Anolis sagrei: one gene and its partners. The protein of the gene in region 2 interacts with the protein of the main gene of each other region in a pairwise test. Links are inferred from orthologs where the notes say so. Each region holds a gene or a part of one and is shown on either strand. Other genes may lie near its edges. The genes, in order: PLXNB1, ARHGEF11 and PLXNB3.

The links.
Region 1: the proteins of ARHGEF11 (region 2) and PLXNB1 interact in a two-hybrid assay, tested with the Homo sapiens proteins (2 studies listed by BioGRID). The link is inferred for Anolis sagrei from reciprocal best matches to the Homo sapiens genes ARHGEF11 and PLXNB1.
Region 3: the proteins of ARHGEF11 (region 2) and PLXNB3 interact in a two-hybrid assay, tested with the Homo sapiens proteins (2 studies listed by BioGRID and IntAct). The link is inferred for Anolis sagrei from reciprocal best matches to the Homo sapiens genes ARHGEF11 and PLXNB3.

Annotation. Positions count from the first base shown.
Region 1 is NC_090022.1:26,208,153-26,215,125, reverse strand, and holds the start of PLXNB1 (plexin-B1), read right to left. Parts: upstream 3,038-6,973; 5' UTR 3,000-3,037; intron 1-2,999. UniProt on the Homo sapiens protein: Receptor for SEMA4D. Plays a role in GABAergic synapse development. Mediates SEMA4A- and SEMA4D-dependent inhibitory synapse development. Plays a role in RHOA activation and subsequent changes of the actin cytoskeleton.
Region 2 is NC_090032.1:11,723,699-11,731,314, forward strand, and holds the start of ARHGEF11 (rho guanine nucleotide exchange factor 11), read left to right. Parts: upstream 1-4,509; 5' UTR 4,510-5,692; coding exon 5,693-5,727; intron 5,728-7,616. UniProt on the Homo sapiens protein: May play a role in the regulation of RhoA GTPase by guanine nucleotide-binding alpha-12 (GNA12) and alpha-13 (GNA13). Acts as guanine nucleotide exchange factor (GEF) for RhoA GTPase and may act as GTPase-activating protein (GAP) for GNA12 and GNA13.
Region 3 is NC_090022.1:178,016,110-178,023,921, reverse strand, and holds the start of PLXNB3 (plexin-B3), read right to left. Parts: upstream 3,075-7,812; 5' UTR 2,922-3,074; coding exon 2,917-2,921; intron 2,715-2,916; coding exon 2,633-2,714; intron 1-2,632. UniProt on the Homo sapiens protein: Receptor for SEMA5A that plays a role in axon guidance, invasive growth and cell migration. Stimulates neurite outgrowth and mediates Ca(2+)/Mg(2+)-dependent cell aggregation.

The DNA of each region.
Region 1 (6,973 bases), on a different chromosome or scaffold from region 2:
ACATGCTTCAAATTACATTGTTTCATCTGCAGGCGCTATAAGCTTGAACTGTTGTTTTTGTTGCTGATTGTTTTTAGAGAAGCTAATTTTCTCCATTTTTCTGGTATTTCATCTGTAGTATTGTGATGTGGTCTGCTGTGGGAGGAAGTCCATGGATATGACAAAGTGTGTTCCCACACTGGTTGAGACCAACCCTGGTGACACCATTGTGCATCCTTTTGAACATTTCACACAAGACGTCAGGACATGTGTAGCCAACAATTTTATTTATTTATTTATTTATTTATTTATTTCATTTACTTATACCCCGCCCTTCTCACCCCGAGGGGGACTCAGGGCGGCTTACAATGGGGGCACAATTAGATGCCCAAGGCAATTCACAAACAATACAAATACAAACAATTCAACAATTAATTAAAAACATCAGTACATAATAAAAACAATAAAACAGTCTCATGCTCAGGGTTCAGAGTCCATATATCCATTCCATTCCATTTGTCCTTGTCTAACATCAGATCCTTCAGTTAGCTGTCAGAATGACCAAAGGCTTGATCCCAGATCCAGGTCTTCAGTTTTTTCCTAAACGCCAAAAGGGAAGATGACGATCTAATCTCCCCGGGGAGTGAGTTCCACAGGTGGGGGGCCACCACTGAGAAGGCCCTACTCCTCGTCCCCGCCAGCCTCACTTGTGACAGTGGCGGGGTCGAGAGCAGGGCCTCCCCAGAAGATCTTAAGCTTCGAGGTGGGACGTAGAGGGAGATCCGTTCGGACAAATACACTGGGCCGGAACCGTATAGGGTTTTGTAGGTCAAAACCAGCACTTTGAATTGTACTTGGAATTGGATCGGCAGCCAGTGGAGCTGACGCAACAGGGGGTTGTATGCTCCCTGTACGCCGCTCCAGTGAGCAATCTGGCTGCTTCTCGCTGGACTAATTGTAGTTTCCGAGCAGTCTTCAAAGGCAACCCCACGTAGAGTGCGTTGCAGTAATCCAGCCGGGATGTGACAAGAGCGTGGACCACCGTGGCCAGATCTGGCTTCTCAAGGTACGGGCGCAGCTGGCGCACAAGTTTTAATTGTGCGAAAGCTCTCCCGGCCACCGCTGAGACCTGGGGTTCCAGGCTCAGCGATGAGTCCAGGATCACTCCCAAGCTGCGAACCTGCGTCTTCAGGGGGAGTGTAACCCCATCTAACACAGGCTGTAACCCTATACCCTGTTCGGCCTTACGACTGACCAGTAGGACCTCTGTCTTGTCTGGATTCAATTTCAATTTGTTAGCTCTCAGTCCGATACAGCGGCTAAACACCGGTTCAAGGTCTGGACAGCCTCCTTGGTGACAGGTGGGAAGGAGTGACAGATTTGGACATCATCTGCGTAGAGATAACATCTCATTCCGAAACTCCGAATGATCTCTCCCAACGGCTTCATATAGATGTTAAATAACATCGGGGACAAAATTGAACCCTGTGGGACTCCACACAACAACGGTTGTGGGGCCGAACAGGTGTCACCCAATAACACCTTCTGGGTCCGTCCCTCAAGGAAGGATCGGAGCCACTGTAAAGCGGTGCCCCCGAGCCCCATATCCATGAGGCGACCCAGAAGGATACCGTGATCGACGGTATCGAAAGCCGCTGAGAGGTCCAGCAGAACTAACAGGGACACACTCCCCCTGTCCAGTTCCCTGCGAAGATCATCTACCAAGGCGACCAACATCACAGTGTGATCAAGATGGCAAACTTATTTAATGAGGAAGAACACTTGACGATTGGAGAGTACAGCAATTTGCTTTGGAATAAATAGGTAAAGGTTCCCCCTTGCTTTGGAATAAATAGATAAAGGTTTCCCCTTGACAGAGTAAGTCGTGTCCTACTCTGAGGGGTGGTGCTGGGTTTTGCGGGAAATTGGCCTGGATATTTTGGAGTTGTAGGTACTGGGATTTATAGTTAACCTACAATCAATTAGCATTCTGCACTCCACCAAAGATGGAATTGGACCACACTTGGCACACAGAACCCCCATGGCTAGCAAAAAAACCAAAACAAAAAAAAAACCCACTGGAGGTCTTTGGGAAAAATACAACTTCATTTAGGGGACTTGTAGTTCACCTACATCCAGAGAGCATTGTGAACCCAAACATCAATGGATCTGAACCAAACACTGAGGGATCTGGACCAAACTTGGCACACATACCTGATATGCTGAAACTTGATTACTGCAGGGGTTTAGGGGGAACTGACCTTCCTTTCTGGGATTTGTAGTTCACCCACAACCAGAGAAACTGTGACCTCCACCGATGATAGACCTGTTCCAAACTTGGCACACAGATCCCCTATGATTAACTCAACCTACTGGAGGGGTTTAAGGGGGCTGACTCACGATAGTAGGAGTTGTAGTAGCCAGAGAGCACACCAAACCCCACTGATGATATATCTAGAGCAAACTTGACCAACATAACAAACTTTAAGTACTGATGGAGTTTCTTGGGGTTAACCTGGCATGACTTTATGCATTTTGTAGAATTTAAAAAATGACTTTTTCCAATAACCTGGGCAACGCTGGGTATCCAAGCTAGCAAAAAATAACAAAAGGCTAGCTGGAAAAGCCTTTTGTACAGAAGCACCCCAGTCAAATATGTTGAGTGGGTAAAACTAGGTCACAAAGGATTGCACTATAAACGCAAAGGTGTCCCATCTCCGTTTAGAACACCACACATGCAAGCGAAATAGCAAAGGCACTCACTCAAGCCCTTTTTTCCGGCTTTCCATTCCCTCACAAGGGAAAGAAAAGAGAGATCCAAATTACACAAACTGATCTCACAGCAGAGGACTTTCTTTGGCCTGCCACGGTCACACAAACATTTTCTCTGCTCCCAGACTTGGGCAGAGTTTTTTCTCCCACCCAAATCCCAAACTGGTAACTAGGAGACGGAGCCAAAAACACACTTCTTGCCTTGCTCTGATCCATTCATGACTTTTAAACACTAATCCCCTTTGTACCTCTCCTCCGGAGCCAATCCTTGCCTGCAGCCCATTCAGCCTGGTACAGAGTCCCCTTGCAAGCTTCATTTAAAGGACAGGGAGGGGAGGGGCGGAGGGGAGAGGAGAGGAGAGTGGGGGCCACATTAAAAAGAAAGGTTGGGAAAAAAGTAGCCTTTTCTTCCTGTCCCAATCTTGGTCTGGAGTGGAGAACTGTGTTTGTATGTTCCATGTCTTTGGAGCAGCGTAAAGACAGGGCTTTCACTGAGAGCAAGTGCCTGTCTGTCACAGCTCAGAGCATTCATTCCCAAACAGTGTGGTCCATTCATTGGCTGCCAGGCCTGGGCCCAGAATGCAGCTTCACCCCAGAGAAAACTGGGAGAGGCTGAGAAAAGGAGCAGAGGTGGGAAAGGAGAGCGGGCTCAGTGGCTAAGGGGATGGGTTCTCAATTCCTTATTTATGAGGATTTTCAAAATACAGTTTAAACCTGGCACGGGCAAACTTGGCCCCTCTAAATGTTTTGGACTTGGTCCCTCCAGATTTTTTGGACTCCAACTCCCACAATTCCTAACAGCCTCAGGCCCCTTCCTTTTCCCCCCTCAGCCACTTAAGCTTAAGGAAGGGGAGAAGTTTTTAAGTCTCCTGGAGCATCCCAGAGGTGAGCAAAAGTAAACATATGAAGTGACATCATCACCAAGCTGGTTGCCCATTTGGGTTGAAAATCAGAATAGTTTTTACAGCATGAACAGGAGAACAGCAACATGCAAATAACTCCAGATGAAACTGCGGACAAAGGTAAAGAATCATGGTTCTGTAAAAAGGTTAGCTTTTTTAGTCTGGATGAGGGCGAAGAAATTGAAATTGACATAGACACTTCTGGTCAGTCGCAAGGATGAACTGGGTATAGGGTTACAGTCTGTGCTGGTTGGGGTTACAGGTTCCCAGGTTTCAATGGTGACCAGGGGAGCTTTTGCACAATTAAAACTTGTGCGCCAGCCAGTTACGCCTGTAGCTTGTGAAGTCAGACTTGGACATGGTGGTCCATGCTCTTGTTACATGGAGAATAGACTACTGCAATGCGCTCTACATGGGGTTGCCTTTGAAGACTGTTTGGAAGCTTCAAGTGTCCCTGAGCGGCAGCCAGATTTCTCACCGGAGCGGTGTACAGGGAACATACAATTCCCCCTGTTGCGTCAGCTCAACTGGCTGTCAGTTTGCTACTGAGCACAAGTCAAAGTGCTGGCTTTAGCCTATAAAGCCCTAAACTGTTCCGGCTCTGCTTGTCTGAATCTATCTCCCTCTATGAACCATCATGGAGGTTAAGATCTTCTGTGGAGAGGCTCTGCTCTTGGTCCCACCTCCTTTGCAAGTGTGGTGGGGAGAGACAGGGTCTTCTCAGTGGTGGTTCCTCAGCTGTGAAACTCTCTCCCCACTGAGATAAGATCAGTGCGCTCCATCTTGGTTTTCAGAAAGACATGGTTGTGGGACCAAGCCTTTGGCCAGTAAAATAATGCAGTTTAAGACTAATTGGGGAACATGTGCAATTGACAACTTGGAATGGCTACGGTTTATGATTTTGATCATGTGATTTTAAAGTTTATACTAGGATGTTTTAATGCTATATCTAAATGTTGTGTATGTGTTATGTTTAATGGTCTTAATTTATTTTAACACATAGTTATATGTTATTCTGGGAATATGTTATTGTTGTCGCTTCTGGTGTGAGAGAATAGGCCATCTGCAAGGACATTGCCCAGGGGACGCCCAGATGTTTTTGATGTTTTACCATCCTTCCTATAAAGGGAACTGGAGCTGACAGAGGTAGCTCAAGCTGCTCTTCCCGGATTCGAATGGCTGATCTGTCGGTCAGCAGTCCTGCCGGCACAAGAGTATAACCCATGGGGGGCTGACATGAAAAAAAATTATTGTTGAGATATTTTTAATTTTTACATGTATGTCTGGCTTTGAATTTTGCCACTAGTATGTTGTAGTCCTCCCAGGGTTGAGAAGAGTGGTAAATAAATACATTAAACAAACAAACAAATAAATAAATAAATGAAGTGGGACACCCCCCCCCCCCCCCCCCCCGGTGGGTTAAACTTGTTGACCGAAGCAGTTTTTAATCCAGGGAGCGGCGTGAGTTTCCAGCTTCTTCCAACCTAGCAGTTTGAAAACATGCAGATGTGAGTAGATCAATAGGTAATGCACGAGCAGGAAGGTAACAGCACTCAATGCAGTCATGACCTTGGAGGAGTCTATGGACAATGCTGGCTCGTCGACTTCGAAATGGAAATGAGCACCAACTCCCAGAGTCAGACACGGCTGGACTTAATGTCAGGGGAAAACCTTTACCTTTTTAAAAATAAATAAATACATAAATTTATATTTATGGATTATGCATCTATGGATTCAACCACAAATGACTTGAAAATATCATAAGGGGAGGATTTGAAAAGGCCGAGCACTGAGCATTATGGGGATGCATGGGCATACCCTGCTGTAGCTGCCTGTCATTTCACAGATCCCCAGACTGTCTTCATCACTTTTTTGAAAAGGCAGCTAGAAAATACTACTCATTACGCCCAAACACTATGTTGTTGTGGTACTTTATAAATGTCCTTTTCTTACATATTCATTCACCTCTTTCTCTTCCAATCACAGTGGCCATGTTACTTATAACTGTATCGCCAACAAGCTCTGTGAAAACTGCAGACACATTGCAGGGCTGTGGGTGTCGGAGTGAGCTCTAATTTGAGAAATGTCCTGCCGCTGGTTTGGTGCCAGTGATTCCCCCTGCTGGTTCACAAGATGAATGTAAGCTGGCATCGGGGCTCTCTTGGCTAGCAGCGAAAGAGTGGTTTCTATCCGAAAAGGCAAGGAGGAGGTGGCTGAAAACTTTCCAGAGGTCAGGCAGCTTTCCAGCAACTACAAAAAGTCCCCCGTCCAGCTTGCTCTCCCAAATTGAACATGGAAATTAGTTTCCTCATTACGGGTACCTGGGAACCAGAGAGCGCTTGAATTGGTTCAATAGTCCTTTTTTTTTGTGCAAAGCTGCTGAGAAAAACAACAAGAGGCAAGACTATAGCTGTATTCCAAGAATCTCTAGGGATTCCTTTTTCATGCCCCAAGTTTTGCTGGAAGACCAGAAAGAGGGTTTCTATCCACAAAGTTGGCTTTTGGGGAGTGAAATGCAAAAGAAGGACATTCTTTGACCTTGGCTAATAGTGGCCTCAGTCACAAGGCCGTAATGACCTTACTAGCCCAAAGAAACAGCTCAGTAAAACCCCGCTTCCTCCAGCCCCAATTTGCAAAAGGAGCTTCTAAAGAAACCACAATTCCGGGATAAGTTTTTACAGGCAATTGTTTCCAGTTTCCTCAAAGCCCAAAGTGTTGCTAAGTTTGAAAGAAAACCACTGTTCAATTAATATTCAGAGCCCATGAGCGGATGTCAAATTTATTTCTAGGAAGCATTCGGAAACTGGCGTATGCCATGCTAATAAAGCCAAGCCTCAACAACACTTGTGGGCTCCTCTACTTTGTAGCAGTGGCCTTGGATTGCTAAATAGAGCTCTTTGTAGTGCGAGTTCCTTCATGGTTATGACCAAGGGGTTTCCTGAAACTGGCCACCCTTTGCTTCACTGTGGGAGAGATGTTTCAAAGGTTGAGGATGAAAGGGTATGGCTGAAGGTTTTTGTTGTTTTCCCATTTCAAAGGAAAGGGATGGCTGAAGTTTTTTTTGTTGTTTTCCCATTTCCAGTTAAATGATGAAAGTGGGTAAGTCAGGGGTGTTGAACTCATTTTCATCGAGGAGCACATCAGCCTTAGGGTTGCCTTCAAAGGGGCATTGAATCCATGGACAGAGAATCTTTGGACCCAGAGGGCCTATATATATTATGTGTGTGTGTGTGTGTGTATACACACACACACACACACACACACACATATGTAAAAGTTTCCCCCTGACATGAAGTCCAGTCATGTCCGACTCTGGGTGT
Region 2 (7,616 bases):
AAGGATGATGGTGGTGAAGATGGCCATGAAGTTCTCATTCAAGGGGCTTGATGATGATGATAATGATGATGATGGCACGAAGAGGTTTGATGATGGGGATGATGGTGGTGAAGATGGCCATGGAGGAATCATTCAAGGGGATTGATTATGATGATGATAATGGTGGTGGTGGGGATGGCACCAAGGGGTTTGATGATGAGAATGATGGCAGTGAAGATGGCCATGAAGGAATCATTCAAGGGGCTTGATGATGAGGATGATGGTGATGGTGAGGATGGTAGCTAATACATTCAAGGGGTTTGATGATGGGGATGATGGTGGTGAAGATGGCCATGAAGTTCTCATTCAAGGGGCTTGATGATGATGATAATGATGATGATGGCACGAAGAGGTTTGATGATGGGGATGATGGTGGTGAAGATGGCCATGAAGGAATCATTCAAGGGGATTGATTATGATGATGATAATGGTGGTGGTGGGGATGGCACCAAGGGGTTTGATGATGAGAATGATGGCAGTGAAGATGGCCATGAAGGAATCATTCAAGGGGCTTGATGATGAGGATGATGGTGATGGTGAGGATGGTAGCTAATACATTCAAGGGGTTTGATGATGAGGCTGATAGTGGTGAAGATGGCCATGAAGTTCTCATTCAAGGGGCTTGATGATGATGATAATGATGATGATGGTACGAAGAGGTTTGATGATGGGGATGATGGTGGTGAAGATGGCCATGAAGTTCTCATTCAAGGGGCTTGATGATGATGATAATGATGATGATGGTACGAAGAGGTTTGATGGTGGTGAAGATGGCCATGAAGTTCTCATTCAAGGGGCTTGATGATGATGATAATGATGATGATGGTACGAAGAGGTTTGATGATGGGGATGATGGTGGTGAAGATGGCCATGAAGGAATCATTCAAGGGGTTTGATGATGAGAATGATGGTGGTGGTGAGGATGGTAGCTAATACATTCAAGGGGTTTGATGATGAGGCTGAGAGTGGTGAAGATGGCCATGAAGTTCTCATTCAAGGGGCTTGATGATGATGATAATGATGATGATGGTACGAAGAGGTTTGATGAGGAGGAGGATGGTGGTGAAGATACCATGAAGGAATCATTCAAGGGGCTTGATGATGATAATAATGATGATGGTACGAAGAGATTTGATGATGATGATGATGATAATGATAATGATGGTACGAAGAGGTTTGATGAGGAGGGTGATGGTGGTGAAGATGACCATGAAGGAATAATTCAAGGGGTTTGATGATGAGGATGATGGTGGTGAAGATGGCCATGGAATTCTCATTCAAGGGGCTTGATGATGATGATGATGATAATGATGATGGTGGTATGAAGGGGATCATGAGGATGATGGTGGTGGTGGGGTTGGTAGCTAATGCATTCAAGGGGTTTGATGATGAGGATCATGGTAGTGAAGATAGCCATGACGTTCTCATTCAAGGGGCTCGATGATGATAATAATGATGATGATGGTACGAAGGGGTTTGATTATGAGGATGATGGTGGTGAAGATGGCCATGAAGGAATCATTCAAGGGCCTTGATGATGATGATAATGATGACGATGAGGATGGCACCAAGGGGTTTGATGATAAGGATGATGGTGGCGAAGATGGCCATGAAGTTCTCATTCTAGGGGCTTGATGATGATGGTGGGGGGAGGGGGTGTGGCTCCAAGGTGTTTTGATCATGAGGATGATGGTGGTGAAGATGGCCATGAAGGAATCATTCAAGGGGCTTGATGATGATGATAATGATAATGATGATGATGGTACGAAGAGGTTTGATGATGAGGCTGATAGTGGTGAAGATGGCCATGAAGTTTCATTCAAGGGGCTTGATGATGATGATGATACTGATGATGATGGTACGAAGGGGTTTGATGATGAGGATGATGGTGGTGAAGATGGCCATGAAGGAATCATTCAAGGGGCTTGATGATGATGATAATGATGATGATGGTACGAAGAGGTTTGATGATGAGGCTGATAGTGGTGAAGATGGCCATGAAGTTTCATTCAAGGGGCTTGATGATGATGATGATACTGATGATGATGGTACGAAGGGGTTTGATGATGAGGATGATGGTGGTGAAGATGGCCATGAAGTTCTCATTCAAGGGCCTTGATGATGATGATAATGATGACGATGAGGATGGCACCAAGGGGTTTGATGATGAGGATGATGGTGGTGAAGATGGCCATGAAGGGGCTTGATGATGATAATAATGATGATGATGGTACGAAGAGGTTTGATGATGGGGATGATGGTGGTGAAGGTGGCCATGAAGTTCTCATTCAAGGGGCTTGATGATGATGATAATAATGATGATGGTACGAAGAGGTTTGATGATGGGGATGATGGTGGTGAAGGTGGCCATGAAGTTCTCATTCAAGGGGCTTGATGATGATGATGATAATGATGATGATGGTACGAAGAGGTTTGATGATGGGGATGATGGTGGTGAAGATGGCCATGAAGTTCTCATTCAAGGGGATTGATGATGATGATAATGATGATGATGGTACGAAGAGGTTTGATGATGGGGATGATGGTGGTGAAGATGGCCATGAAGTTCTCATTCAAGGGGCTTGATGATGATGATAATAATGATGATGGTACGAAGAGGTTTGATGATGGGGATGATGGTGGTGAAGGTGGCCATGAAGTTCTCATTCAAGGGGCTTGATGATGATGATGATAATGATGATGATGGTACGAAGAGGTTTGATGATGGGGATGATGGTGGTGAAGATGGCCATGAAGTTCTCATTCAAGGGGATTGATGATGATGATAATGATGATGATGGTACGAAGAGGTTTGATGATGGGGATGATGGTGGTGAAGATGGCCATGAAGGAATCATTCAAGGGATATGATGATGAGGATGATGGTGATGGTGAGGATGGTAGCTAATACATTCAAGGGGTTTGATGATGATGCTGATAGTGGTGAAGATGGCCATGAAGTTCTCATTCAAGAGGCTTGATGATGATGATAATGATGATGATGGTACGAAGAGGTTTGATGATGGGGATGATGGTGGTGAAGATGGCCATGAAGGAATCATTCAAGGGGTTTGATGATGAGGATGATGGTGGTGGTGAGGATGGTAGCTAATACATTCAAAGGGTTTGATGATGAGGCTGATAGTGGTGAAGATGGCCATGAAGGAATCATTCAAGGGACTTGATGATGATAATAATGATGATGATGGTACAAAGGGGTTTGATGATGAGGATGATGGTGGTGAAGATGGTCATGAAGTTCTCATTCAAGGGGCTTGATGATGATCATAATGATGATGATGATGATGGTATGAAGAGGTTTGATGATGAGGATGATGGTGGTGAAGATGGCCATGAAGGAATCATTCAAGGGGCTTGATGATGAGGATGATGGTGATGGTGAGGATGGTAGCTAATGCATTCAAGGGGTTTGATGATGAGGATGATGGTGGTGGTGAGGATGGTAGCTAATGCATTCAAGGGGTTTGATGATAAGGATGATGGTGGTAAACATGGCCATGAAGTTCTCATTCAAGGGGCTTCATGATGATGATAATGATGATGATGGTACGAAGAGGTTTGATGATGGGGATGATGGTGGTGAAGATGGCCATGAAGTTCTCATTCAAGGGGCTTGATGATGATAATAATGATGATGATGGTACGAAGGGGTTTGATGATGATAATAATGATGATGATGGTACGAAGAGGTTTGATGAGGATGATGGAGGTGAAGATGGCCATGAAGTTCTCATTCAAGGGGCTTGATGATGATGATGATGATAATGATGATGATGGTACGAAGAGGTTTGATGATGAGGATGATGGTGGTGAAGATGGCCATGGAATTCTCATTCAAGGGGCTTGATGATGATGATGATGATGATAATGATGATGGTGGTACGAAGAGGTTTGATGAGGAGGAGGATGGTGGTGAAGATGATAATGATGATGGTGGTACGAAGAGGTTTGATGAGGAGGAGGATGGTGGTGAAGATGATAATGATGATGGTGGTACGAAGAGGTTTGATGAGGAGGAGGATGGTGGTGAAGATGGCCATGAAGTTCTCATTCAAGGGGCTTGATAATGATAATAATGATGATGATGATGGTATGAAGAGGTTTGATGATGAGGATGATGGTGGTGAAGATGGCCATGAAGGAATCATTCAAGGGGTTTGATGATGAGGATGATGGCAACCAATACTGAACCTTCCAGGGGCTTGATGAGGAGGAGGATGGCAACTAATACATTCAAATGGGGGGTTGAGAAGGCAAAGGAGAAGGGCAGCAAATGCCTTATGAAGGTGATGATGATGGTGATGATGAGGATGATGGTGGGGATGCCTCCCTCTTCCTTCCTTCCTTCCTTCCTCCCTTCCTTCCCTCCCACCTGCTGCTGCTGCAGAGCCAGGGAAGCTCTTCCTGAGGGCGGGAGGAGGAGGAGGAGGAGGAAAAGAGGAGGAGGAGGAGGGCGGCTGTGGGAGGGATTATCTGGGAAGAAGGAGGAGGAAGAGGAGGAAGGAGAGGAGAAGGACCGAAGGGCAGGCAAAACAGGCAGGCAGGCGGGCCTAGGAGCCAAGCCACTTGCGGGTTCGGCTCTCCTTTCCCAGACCGGTGCTGCTTCCCCTCCCGGAGCCGAGGAAGGTCGGGGAGCCTCCCTACGCGAGGCCGGGGCTTCGCCGCTCCCGCTAGGCCTCTCCTTGGATTTCCCTCACTGGGGAAGGGGAAAAGGAGGAGGAGGAAGGTGAAGAAGGAGGACCTTCTTCTTCCTCGGACCCCGAAGCCAAGCTGGAGCAAGAGGAGGAGGAGGAGAAGAAGAAGGGGAAGGACCCACCGCTTTGGAGGACATCTTGGGGCTTTGGAAGAAGAAGAAGAAGAGGAGGAGGAGGGGGTATCACTGTCCTCTGCTCAGCCCTTCATTGATTCCCCTTAGTCCTCTATCCTGTACCTGCCTTGGCAGGAAAAGAAGTTTGCAATTACCTTATTATTATTAATATTAATATTATGATGATTATTATGATGTGTATTTTGCTTTTCTTTCCTTGGGAGTGATTTGTTGCATGGCTTTTTATTTATTAGCCCAAAGGAAGGACAAGGGAGGCTGCTTGAGAGTGAAATTGGGCATCTTTTTGGCAACCTGAAGACACACAAACACAGAGAGAGACCCAGGAATACAGATCTTTTCCATTGTCCCCCCTTCCCTCTTCCAACAGGAAGGACAGCTGGGAAAACTGGATTATTAGGATGTTTTGATCCCTATGACTTTAATGTTTTGGACGGGAACGCGTCTTTATTCCACCGGGTAGTATTTATAACCTTGGACAAAGTTTGCAGAGTTGTTTGTATTTTTATTTTTGGGGGCAACCACTTCCCCAAGGCCCAGAATTGATAACCTTGGACAAGGTTTGCAAAGTTATTTGTATTTTTTATTTTATTTTTTGGGGCAACCACTTTCCCAAAGCCTGGAACGCTGCATGGATATAAGGATGGACTCAAAGGCTCCGCCGTCTTGACTGCAAGAGACTAGTTTTCCTCCTTTGTGGTTAGGATTGGTAATAAAAATCCGCATCTGCGCAAAGGAAAAAGGCGTGCAAGCAGCCAAAGGATCCACCGCTGGCCAACCCCGGCCTTCTGGATTTGACTACAAACCATGAACATGCGGCCACCTCAGACTGCATTGGACAGGTATGTCAAATAGACAGGTTTAGCTCTTCCTTTGCTTACCAAAAATGGTTTGTTGTTGTAGGCTTTCATGGCCGGAATCACTGGTTTGCTGTGAGTTTTCCGGGCTGTACAGCCATGTCCCAGAAGCATTCTCTCCTGATGTTTCATCCACATCTATGGCAGGCATCCTCTCCTGACGTTCCACCTACATCTATGGCAGGCATCCTCAGAGGCTGTGAGGTCTGTTGTTGAAGGCATTCCTGGCCGGAATCACTGGGTTGCTGTGAGTTTTCCAGGCTGTACAGCCATGTCCCAGAAGCATTCTCTCCTGATGTTTCTCCCACATCTATGACAGGCATCCTCAGAGGCTGTGAGGTCTGTTGTTGAAGGCCTTCCTGCCCAGAATCATTGGGTTGCTGTAAGTTTTCTGGGCTGTACAGCCATGTCCCAGAAGCATTCTTTCCTGATGTTTCTCCCACATCTATGGCAGGCATCCTCAGAGGCTGTGAGGTCTGTTGTTGAAGGCTTTCATGGCCCGAATCGCTGGGTTGCTGTGAGTTTTCCGGGCTGTACAGCCATGTCCCAGAAGCATTCTCTCCTGACGTTCCACCTACATCTATGGCAGGCATCCTCAGAGGCTGTGAGGTCTGTTGTTGAAGGCATTCCTGGCCAGAATCACTGGGTTGCTGTGAGTTTTCTGTACAGCCATGTCCCATAATAATAATAATATCACCACAATCTGTCAACTGCAAAAAGCCACCTGACTTGGATCTCCACACATCATTTGTAAATACATCATACAGTCCTAGACGCTTGGGAAGTGTTCGACTTGTGATTTTGTGGGGAATCCTTTGTTGGGAGGTGTTAGCTGGCCCTGATTGTTTCTTGCCTGGAATTCCCCTGTTGCAATTTGTCATCTTGATTAGCATTTAATGAGCCAGCTAACACCTCCCTACAAAGGATTCCCCTAAGCAGTAACCAGCCAGGCTTTGAAGCTGCAAAGCCATTCATTGCTAATCAAGGTGATCAGTTGCAGCATTCACACTTGCCTCAAAAAGACAAGAATTCTTCCTCCTACCCATAACGTCTGAGGATGCCTGCCATAGATGTGGGTGAAACGTCAGGAGAGAGTGCTTCTGGAACATGGCCAGACAGCCCGGAAAACTCACAGCAACCTAGTGATTCCGGCCATGAAAAGCCTTCGACAACACATTGTCTTTCTTTCCTCGGTTTCTTTGGCCAATGGATGAATGGGCCAGCGTCGGCCTATGTGTGTATATGCGGAGGCGATGTCCAGGTTTTTTGGCCTTTGCTCAAGGAAGGCATTGGTAATGGTCATACGACTTGGCGTCCCTTGTCTCTCCCTCTTTCTCTGAGAAATACTTTTTTTGGGTCCGTTCCACACGGAAAGATGTCATGAAGTAATTGAACTCCGTGCCACTTGTCACTTTTTCCTTTCGGTTTTTTCTTGAGTTGTCAAAGTTTTCATGGCTGGAATCACTGGGTTGTTGTGACTTTTCCGGGCTGTGTGGCCATGTTCCAGAAGCATTCTCTCCTGATGTTTCTCCCACATCTATGGCAGGTATCCTCAGAGGTTTAAGGGTCTGTTGGAAACTAGGCAAGTGAGATTTGGAAAAATGTCCAGAGTGGGAGAAAGAACTCTTGTCTGATTGAGGTAAGTGTGAATGCTGCAATTGATCACTTTGATTAGCATTGAATGGCCTTGCAGCTTCAAAGCCTGGCTGGCTACTGCTTGAGGGAATCCTCTGTTGGGAGGTGTTAGCTGGCCCATTAAGGAGCCCCCGATGGCACAGTGGGTTAAACCCGGCTGGTTCAAATCTGGGGAGAGCACGGATGAGCTCCTTGAATCAGCTCCAGCTCCTCATGCGGGAACATGAGAGAAGCCTCCC
Region 3 (7,812 bases), on a different chromosome or scaffold from region 2:
CTGCCCCCATTTCTTGCCTTCTGGCCACAGCTGGAAGGGAGCAGAGGCAGCAGCGTAGTAACATCACCACCATACATATACGCACTCTCCTTCATGCAAACACACACCTCCCTGGGGAAGGTGCGCGAGACGCATTCACAGACAATGGCAAAGGGGTGGGGCTGCGAAGGAGACAAAAGGCGCCCCTCTCCCGCGTACATTTCCAGGGGAATGGAAACATATGCGTGTGCGGGACGCCAGTTCCAATATACTCACTTCGCATGGAAGCAACCTAAAGCAGAGTTAGTTGTCTGAAGAAGGAAAAAAGAATTCCAACATCTTTGTTAGTGTTTCGGCTAAATAAAAGCCTCACAACATGGGCGAGCTTTTGAATCATCCAGATCTCTTCTATTTGAAGAGATCTGGAGATCTCTTTGAATCATCCAGATCTCTTCTATTACATTACGAAATATAGTAACAAGGGGATCACAAAGTCCGAGAAGAAATATTGTCTGCCAACTGGAAGTCATATTGTCTGCCAACTGGAAATTATATGTGCTGAATGAGAGTGAGACACACATATGGACACTCAGGAATTATAACGTCACAGAATGTTACCAAAGCATGTGCTTCGATATAATAATCTATATAAATAAAAATGTAATGTTCGTTTGTGGGATTAACAGAACTCAAAAACCACTGGGGGAATGGACACCAAATTTGGACACAAGACACCTAACAACCCAATGTATGTCCTTCACTCATAAAAACACTGAAAAACGCAGAAGGGACTTTAAAAGCCCCCAAAAGCTAAATGATAATACAGAAAAAGGAAGAAAGAGGGAGGGGAGAAAAGAAAGAAAGCAAGAAAGAAAGAAAAAAAAGAAAGAAACGAGGGAGGGAAAGAAAGAAAGAAAGAAAGAAAGAAGGAAAGGGAGAAGGAAGCATGGAAGCAAAGACAGAAGGAAGGAGAGAGGTAGAGGAGGAAGAAAGGAGAGAAAGAGGGAGGGAAAAAAGAGGAAGGAAAGTTAGAGAAGGAAGGAAGGAGAGAAAGAAAGAAAAAACAGAAAGAGGGAGCGAAGGAAGGGGGAAGATGTAGAGAAAGAGGAAGGGAAAGAAGGAAGGAAAGAGAAAAAGGAAGGAGAGACAGCAGAAGAGAAAGAAAAAGGGGGAAGGAAGGAAAGAGATAGAGAAGGAAAGATGGGAAGGAAGGAAGGAAAGAGGGAGTGAAGGAAGGAGGGAAAGAAGGAGAGAAAGAGGGAAGGTTGGCCACAGCAACGCGTGGCAGGTACAGCTAGTAATCTATATAAATAAAAATGTAATGTTCGTTTGTGGGGTTAACATAACTCAAAAACCACTGGATGAATTGACACCAAATTTGGACACAAGACACCCATCAGGCCAATGAGTGACCATCACTCATAAAAACATTGAAAAACACAGCAGAAGGGACTCAAAATGACAAAAAACCCAAAAAATACATTAATAATAATAATAATAATAATAATAATAATAAACTTTATACCACGCCACCTTCTCTCCAAAGGGGACTCGCCAAGCCCAATGATACATTACAACAACATAAACAGCAAAATAACATCACAGTTAAAATAAATAAACCAATAAAGTAAATAAACAGTACAAAATAACATAATGGAAAATTGAACACAGTGGGCGGGCCAAATGAACGACATAAAATGAGATAGCAATGAAAAAGGTACATTTGAAAAGGTACACAAAACACATATACACAGACTGGGCCACAGCAACGTGTGGCAGGGGCAGCTAGTAATAATAATAATAATAATAATAATAATAATAATACTTTATTTATACCCCGCCACCATCTCTCCAAGGGGACTCGGGGCAGCTTACATGAGGCCAAGCCCAGCAATACAATACATCAATATACAACAGAACACAGCAATAAAATATAAAGAAAATAAAAATTCAATGCAAAAACCATTATAAATAACACATCAAACAAAGTAAATCGCAATCGATCACAGTGGGCAGGGACGGTTACAATAGAATAAAAAAATTAAAACACTGGGTGAGACAGCAGTGTAATATATCTGGACAGGGGATACGGAGGATAAAGTAGGGTTTGACTGCACTAACAGGTAAAATAAAGTGCTTCTGAAGGCATTTTGCACTACCTCTGAGGATGCTTGCCATAGATGCAGGCGAAACGTCAGGAGAAATGCCTCTAGGACATGGCTCTATAGCCCGAAAAAACCCACAAGAACCTAGTGATTCCAGCCATGAAAGCCTTCGACAATACATTTTGCAAGAATTTATTCTGTGATACTAATGTTTGTATCACAAATAGTATCTGACAGAGAAAGATGTCACCGAAGAGAACTGGATCTTTCCAATACTAACTTTACTTCACAACATGCCAGCCCACCTTTTCCTCCCAGAGAAGGAATCCCGGACTGAAATCCCACTGTTAGTCCAAACTAGAATACACTCACTGATTAAATGACAACTGAGTCGCCCAATATGTGTGTAAGTTTAACGGATGCAATTATTTCCTCTATTTGGGACCGATATCGGATTCAGACTCAGGAGTTGCAACCGCCGGCAGGCTCCGATCTCCACCGTTCAATCCCATTTTGGTCCCACGCGCGTATCGCTTCCCTGCACTTACCCGCTGGCCACGCTGAGCACATTTCAGCTCCCGCATGGTAACGTCAGGCAGTGGCAGCAGCCGTAGGGCTCCGCGGACATCCCTAGAAGAAAGCGATAAGGCAGTGTGTGAGTTGATATGGAGGGGGGCTGGGGTTAGATGGCAATTCAAGGCTGTATCAATGGCTGCTGTGATCAGCGTCCCCCCTCCCATCAAAGCCCCCACTGTTCCCCTCTCGGCTGTGCCATCACAGAGCCACACGGGGGCTCAAGGGGCCCTTTATCCCACAGCAATAGAGCTCTCACAGCATTGAGACACATGACCCTGGCACCCCAGAGAAAATGAACACGGGGTGGAGGGAATGGGGAGGTTGTGGGTGAAGAATGAAGGCCACTGCCAGAGAGAGAGAGAGAGAGGAGAAAGAAGAAGGCAGCTATTGCAAGCCAGCCAGGGCATCAGCTGATCAGACGGGTGTCGGGACAGAGGCTGAAGCAGCAGGAGAAATGGACAGGTCAGGACTTGTGTCTCGCCCCAGGGTGGGGAACAGAGGAAGCCCTTGTCATTTGTTTGCATGGCGTTATTGATTAATGGAAGGGGCAGAAAGAAAAAGAGATGGGCAGAAATGTGGGTGTGGCCGTGCCTGGTTTCCTGGGAGCTCAGGGGGTCCTTTGGAACTCTGTATTTTTGAACTCAAGGCATTTTAAAGCAAGGCAAAAACAAGCCAAAGTGCAAAACACAAAAGATTTACAGACTCATTCCCAAATTTGAAGTTTGTTTTCAAAACCTGTTTCGGCTTTCCTCCTGGCTCAGACTCCTAAAATTTAGGATTTCTCAAGCCTCCTAATGCCAAGACCCCTTAATACAGTTCCTCCTGTTGTGGTGACCCCCAACCATAACATTATTCACGTTGCCACTTCACCACTGTAATTTTGCTACTGTTACGTAAATATCGGATATGCAGGATGTATTTTCATTCACTGGACCAAATTTGGCACAAATATCCGATCCGCCCAAATCTGAATACTTGTGGGGTTGAGGCCGGATGATTTTATCATTTGGGAGTTGTAAGATAAAGGTAAAGATTTTCCCCTGACATTAAGTCCAACTCTGGAGTTGGACTTCATGTCCAACTCTGGGGTGTGGTGCTCATCTCAATTTCTAAGCTGAAGAGCTGGCGTTGTCCATAGACACCTCCAAGGTCATGTGGCCAGCATGACTGCATGGAGTGCAGTTACCTTCCCACCGGAGCAGTACCTATTGATCTACTCACATTTGCATGTTTTCGAACTGCTAGGTTGGCAGAAGCTGGGGCTGACAGCAGAAGCTCACGCCACCCCCCAGATTCAAACCTGTGATCTTTTGTTCAACAAGCTCAGCTTCAAACCTGTGATCTTTTGTTCAACAAGCTCAGCTTCGAACCTATGATCTTTTGTTCAACAAGCACTGTGCCACCAGGGGCTCCAGTTTGGGAGCTGTACTTGCTGGGATTTATAGTTCACCTACAATCAAAGCGCATTCTGAACTCCAGCAATGATGGAATTGAACCAAATTTGGCAAACAGAACTCCCATGACTAACAGAAAATACTGGAAGGGTTTGGTGGGCATTGACCTTGAGTTTTGGAGATGTAGTTCACCTACATCCAGAGAGCACTGTGGACTCAAGCAATGATGGGTATGGACCAAACTTGGCATGAATACTCAATATGCCCAAATGCGAATACTGGTGGAGTTTGGGGAAAATAGGCCTTGACATTTGGGAGTTGTAGTTGCTGGGATTTATAATTTACCTACAATCAAAGAGCATTCTGAATCCTACCAACGATGGAATTGTACCAAACTTCCTACACAGAACGCCCATGACCAACAGGAAATACCGTGTTTTCTGATGGTCTTTGGCAACCCCTCTGACACCTTCTCCTGAAACCCCCCCCCCCCCCCGGGTCACGACCACAATGTTGGGAAATGATGCTGTAGATCCCCAGCATTACTCTACAATCAACTTTTCGCAGTAGTTGATCATCTAATTACAGTGGAGAACTTCAGCTCCAGGAGACAATATTTTAATAAAATCCACAGAATTCAAACCTGTAGAAGACAAATCTGGAAGTATGGAGGGCTTAGAACTATATATTTACATATACACACAATATGTTTACTTTCTGCTTCTCTGTTTCTAGCCTCTCCCCTCATCCCTAATTCTTGCCATCACCCCCTTGGTTGGCAACAATATTAATCTTGCTCCCACTCCCATATGGGAAATATCGTGCCTGTCTCTGCTCATGCCAAATGCCCCAGATTCTGCGGCTTCTTGCAGAGAAGGGTCGATGGGGTTTTAATGGAATTGCTAGTGTTGGGAGGATATAATAATTGCGTGGAAGAGGGCTGCTTCCAGGGATTGAGGTTGGAAGAGAGGTGTTAGCGAGGATTAGCCGGACATCTGCAGATTGGCACTGAGTGCCGTCACCTGCCCAGCCAACAGAAGCCTCATTGCATAGTCAGCTCAAAAGCTGTTCAGAGGTTTGCACAGTCAGTCCTGCTGTCGCTCATGTTCCTGAACAGAGCTTAAGAAAATGTCTCTTTTAGATCCCCCAAATTCCCAAGTTCCATCACCAGTTATAGTCCAAAAACAGTAATAGTTCCAAGATGGGCTTCAGAATCAGTTCCAAAGTGAGAAAACTACATAGTGGTAGTAGGGTAAGAAACTAAGGAGTCTCTGCACACCCTCTGATTGCAACACAGTGAATCCACTTGAACTGCCATGTGTAACTTGAGTTTGATAGTTTGGTCAGAGCCTCTTGTTGTGCGTCTTCAGGTTGCATGGCAACTCTAAAGGCAAACCTATTGCAGGGTTTTCTTGCCAAGATTTGATCATAGGAAGGTTTGCCTTTGTTTTCCTCTGGGGATGAAAGAGTGTGACTTGTCCAAGGTCACCCAGTGGGTTTCCATGGCCAAGATTCAAATCTTTGTGCTCAGAATCAGACCAGGACGCCATCTCTTCCCAATCTACAGATTCCAGGATACCATAGATCAGTGGTTCTCAGCCTGTGGGTCCCCAGGTATTTTGGCCTCAACTCCCAGAAATCCAGTTTACCAGCTGTTAGGATTTCTGGGAGTTGAGGCCAAAACATCTGGGGACCCAGAGGTTGAGAACCACTGCCATAGATTGTTATTCTGGCAGTCAAAGTGAAATCATAGTACTATGATTGTGTAGTATGAATGGGCCCCTAATCAGTGAGACCCAACAAATGGGGAAGTCCATCTCACTCCAGTAGGCTTTGTTTGAAAGAATTTTGCCATAGTTTGGACCTTGGTGTGCCACACAAAGACATGCATGCACACACTGCAATAAATTCAGGCACTAAATCAGCATTTCTCAACCTGGGGGTCGGGACCCCTGGGGGGGTCACAAGGGGAGCGTCAGAGGGGTTGCCAAGACAACTAGAAAACATAGTATTTTCTTTTGGTCGGTGTGGGAAGTTTGTTCTCTCATTGGTGGAGTACAGAAAGCTATTTGATTGTAGGTGAACTATAAAAATCAGCAACTACAACACCCAAATGTCAAGGCCTATTTTCCCCAAACTCCACCAGTATTCGCATTTGGGCAAATTGAGTATTCATGCCAAGTTTGGTCCAGATCCATCATTGTTTGAGTCCACAGTGCTCTCTGGATGTAGGTGAACTACAACTCCAAAACTCAAAGTCAATGACCACCAAACCCTTCCAGTATTTTCTGTCAGTCATGGGAGTTCTGTGTGCCAAATTTGGTTCAATTCCATCGTTGGTGGAGTTGGTACGTTCAAATTTGAGCTAACCATGTATTTGTGGCAAATTTGGTCCAGTGAATGAAAATACATCCTGCATATCAGATATTTACATAACGATTCATAACATTAGCAAAACCACAATTATGAAGTAGCAATGAAAATAATTTAATGGTTGGGGGTCACCACAGCATGAGAAACTGTATTAAGGGGTCGTGGCATTAGGAAGGTTGAGAACCACTGGTAAAGAGGTTCTTAGAGAGAAAACCAGGAATACTGCATATGTATATAGCTAGACACACACACAGAAAAGAATCAAGAGTTTAAGATATAGGTGTCAAATTCAAGACCTGTAGGCCGAATCTGGCCCACCATGTCCTTTTATGCGGCTCTCCAAATGCTGGACTGCAACTCCTCATCATTACACATCATGACTAGAGCTAACATCTGGGAAGCTGGAGTTTGTTCTATTTACTCAGCATAGTGGTGTTTGAATTCAGATACAAGGCTTGTGGATACAATGTCTGATTTTGAAATGACCTTCAAACTTTCCCAAAGCTCAGAGCCAAAGTGCTCTTATGTTGCAATTCCCATTATCCCCAGGCTGCATGGGAGATAATCAAAAGTTAAGAGAGTTATTGTTCAATAACATCTGGGGACCCAAACTGGGCTAAAACTAAAGAGCATCAACCACTGGGTTAAAAAAAATATAGTTGGCCCTCTGTATAATTCTCCATCCATGGACTCAACAGCCCTTTGAAGGCAACCATAAGGCTGGCGTGGGCCCTGATGAAAATGAGTTTGACCCCCCCCCCCCAGTTCAAGGTGTTGCTTCATCTAGTCCAGGGGTCCTCAAACTTTTTAAACAGAGGGCCAGGTCGCAATCCCTCAAACTGTTGGAGGGCCGGATTATAATTTGAAAAAAAACATGAGTGAATTCATATGCACACTGCACATATATTATTTGTAGTGCAAAAAACACTTAAAAGCAATACAATAATTAAAATGAAGAACAATTTTAACAAATATAAACTTATTAGTATTTCAATGGGAAGTGTGGCCCTGCTTTTGACTTTTTTTTTTTTTTGTCGTGTCAGGAGCGACTTGAGAAACTGCAATTCGCTTCTCGTGTGAGAGAATTGGCCGTCTGCAAGGACGTTGCCCAGGGGACGCCTGGATGATTTGATGTTTTTATCATCCTTGTGGGAGGCTTCTCTCATGTCCCCGCATGAGGAGCTGGAGCTGATAGAGGGAGCTCCTCCGCCTCTCCCCAGATTTGAACCTGCGACCTGACGGTCTTCAGTCCTGCCAGCACAGGGCTTTAACCCACTGCGCCACCGGGGGCCTTTGACTGATGTGATAGGATTGTTGTTGTTGTGGTATGCTTTCAAGTCGTTTCAGACTTAGATTGACCCTAAGCGAGGGCCGGGTAAATGACA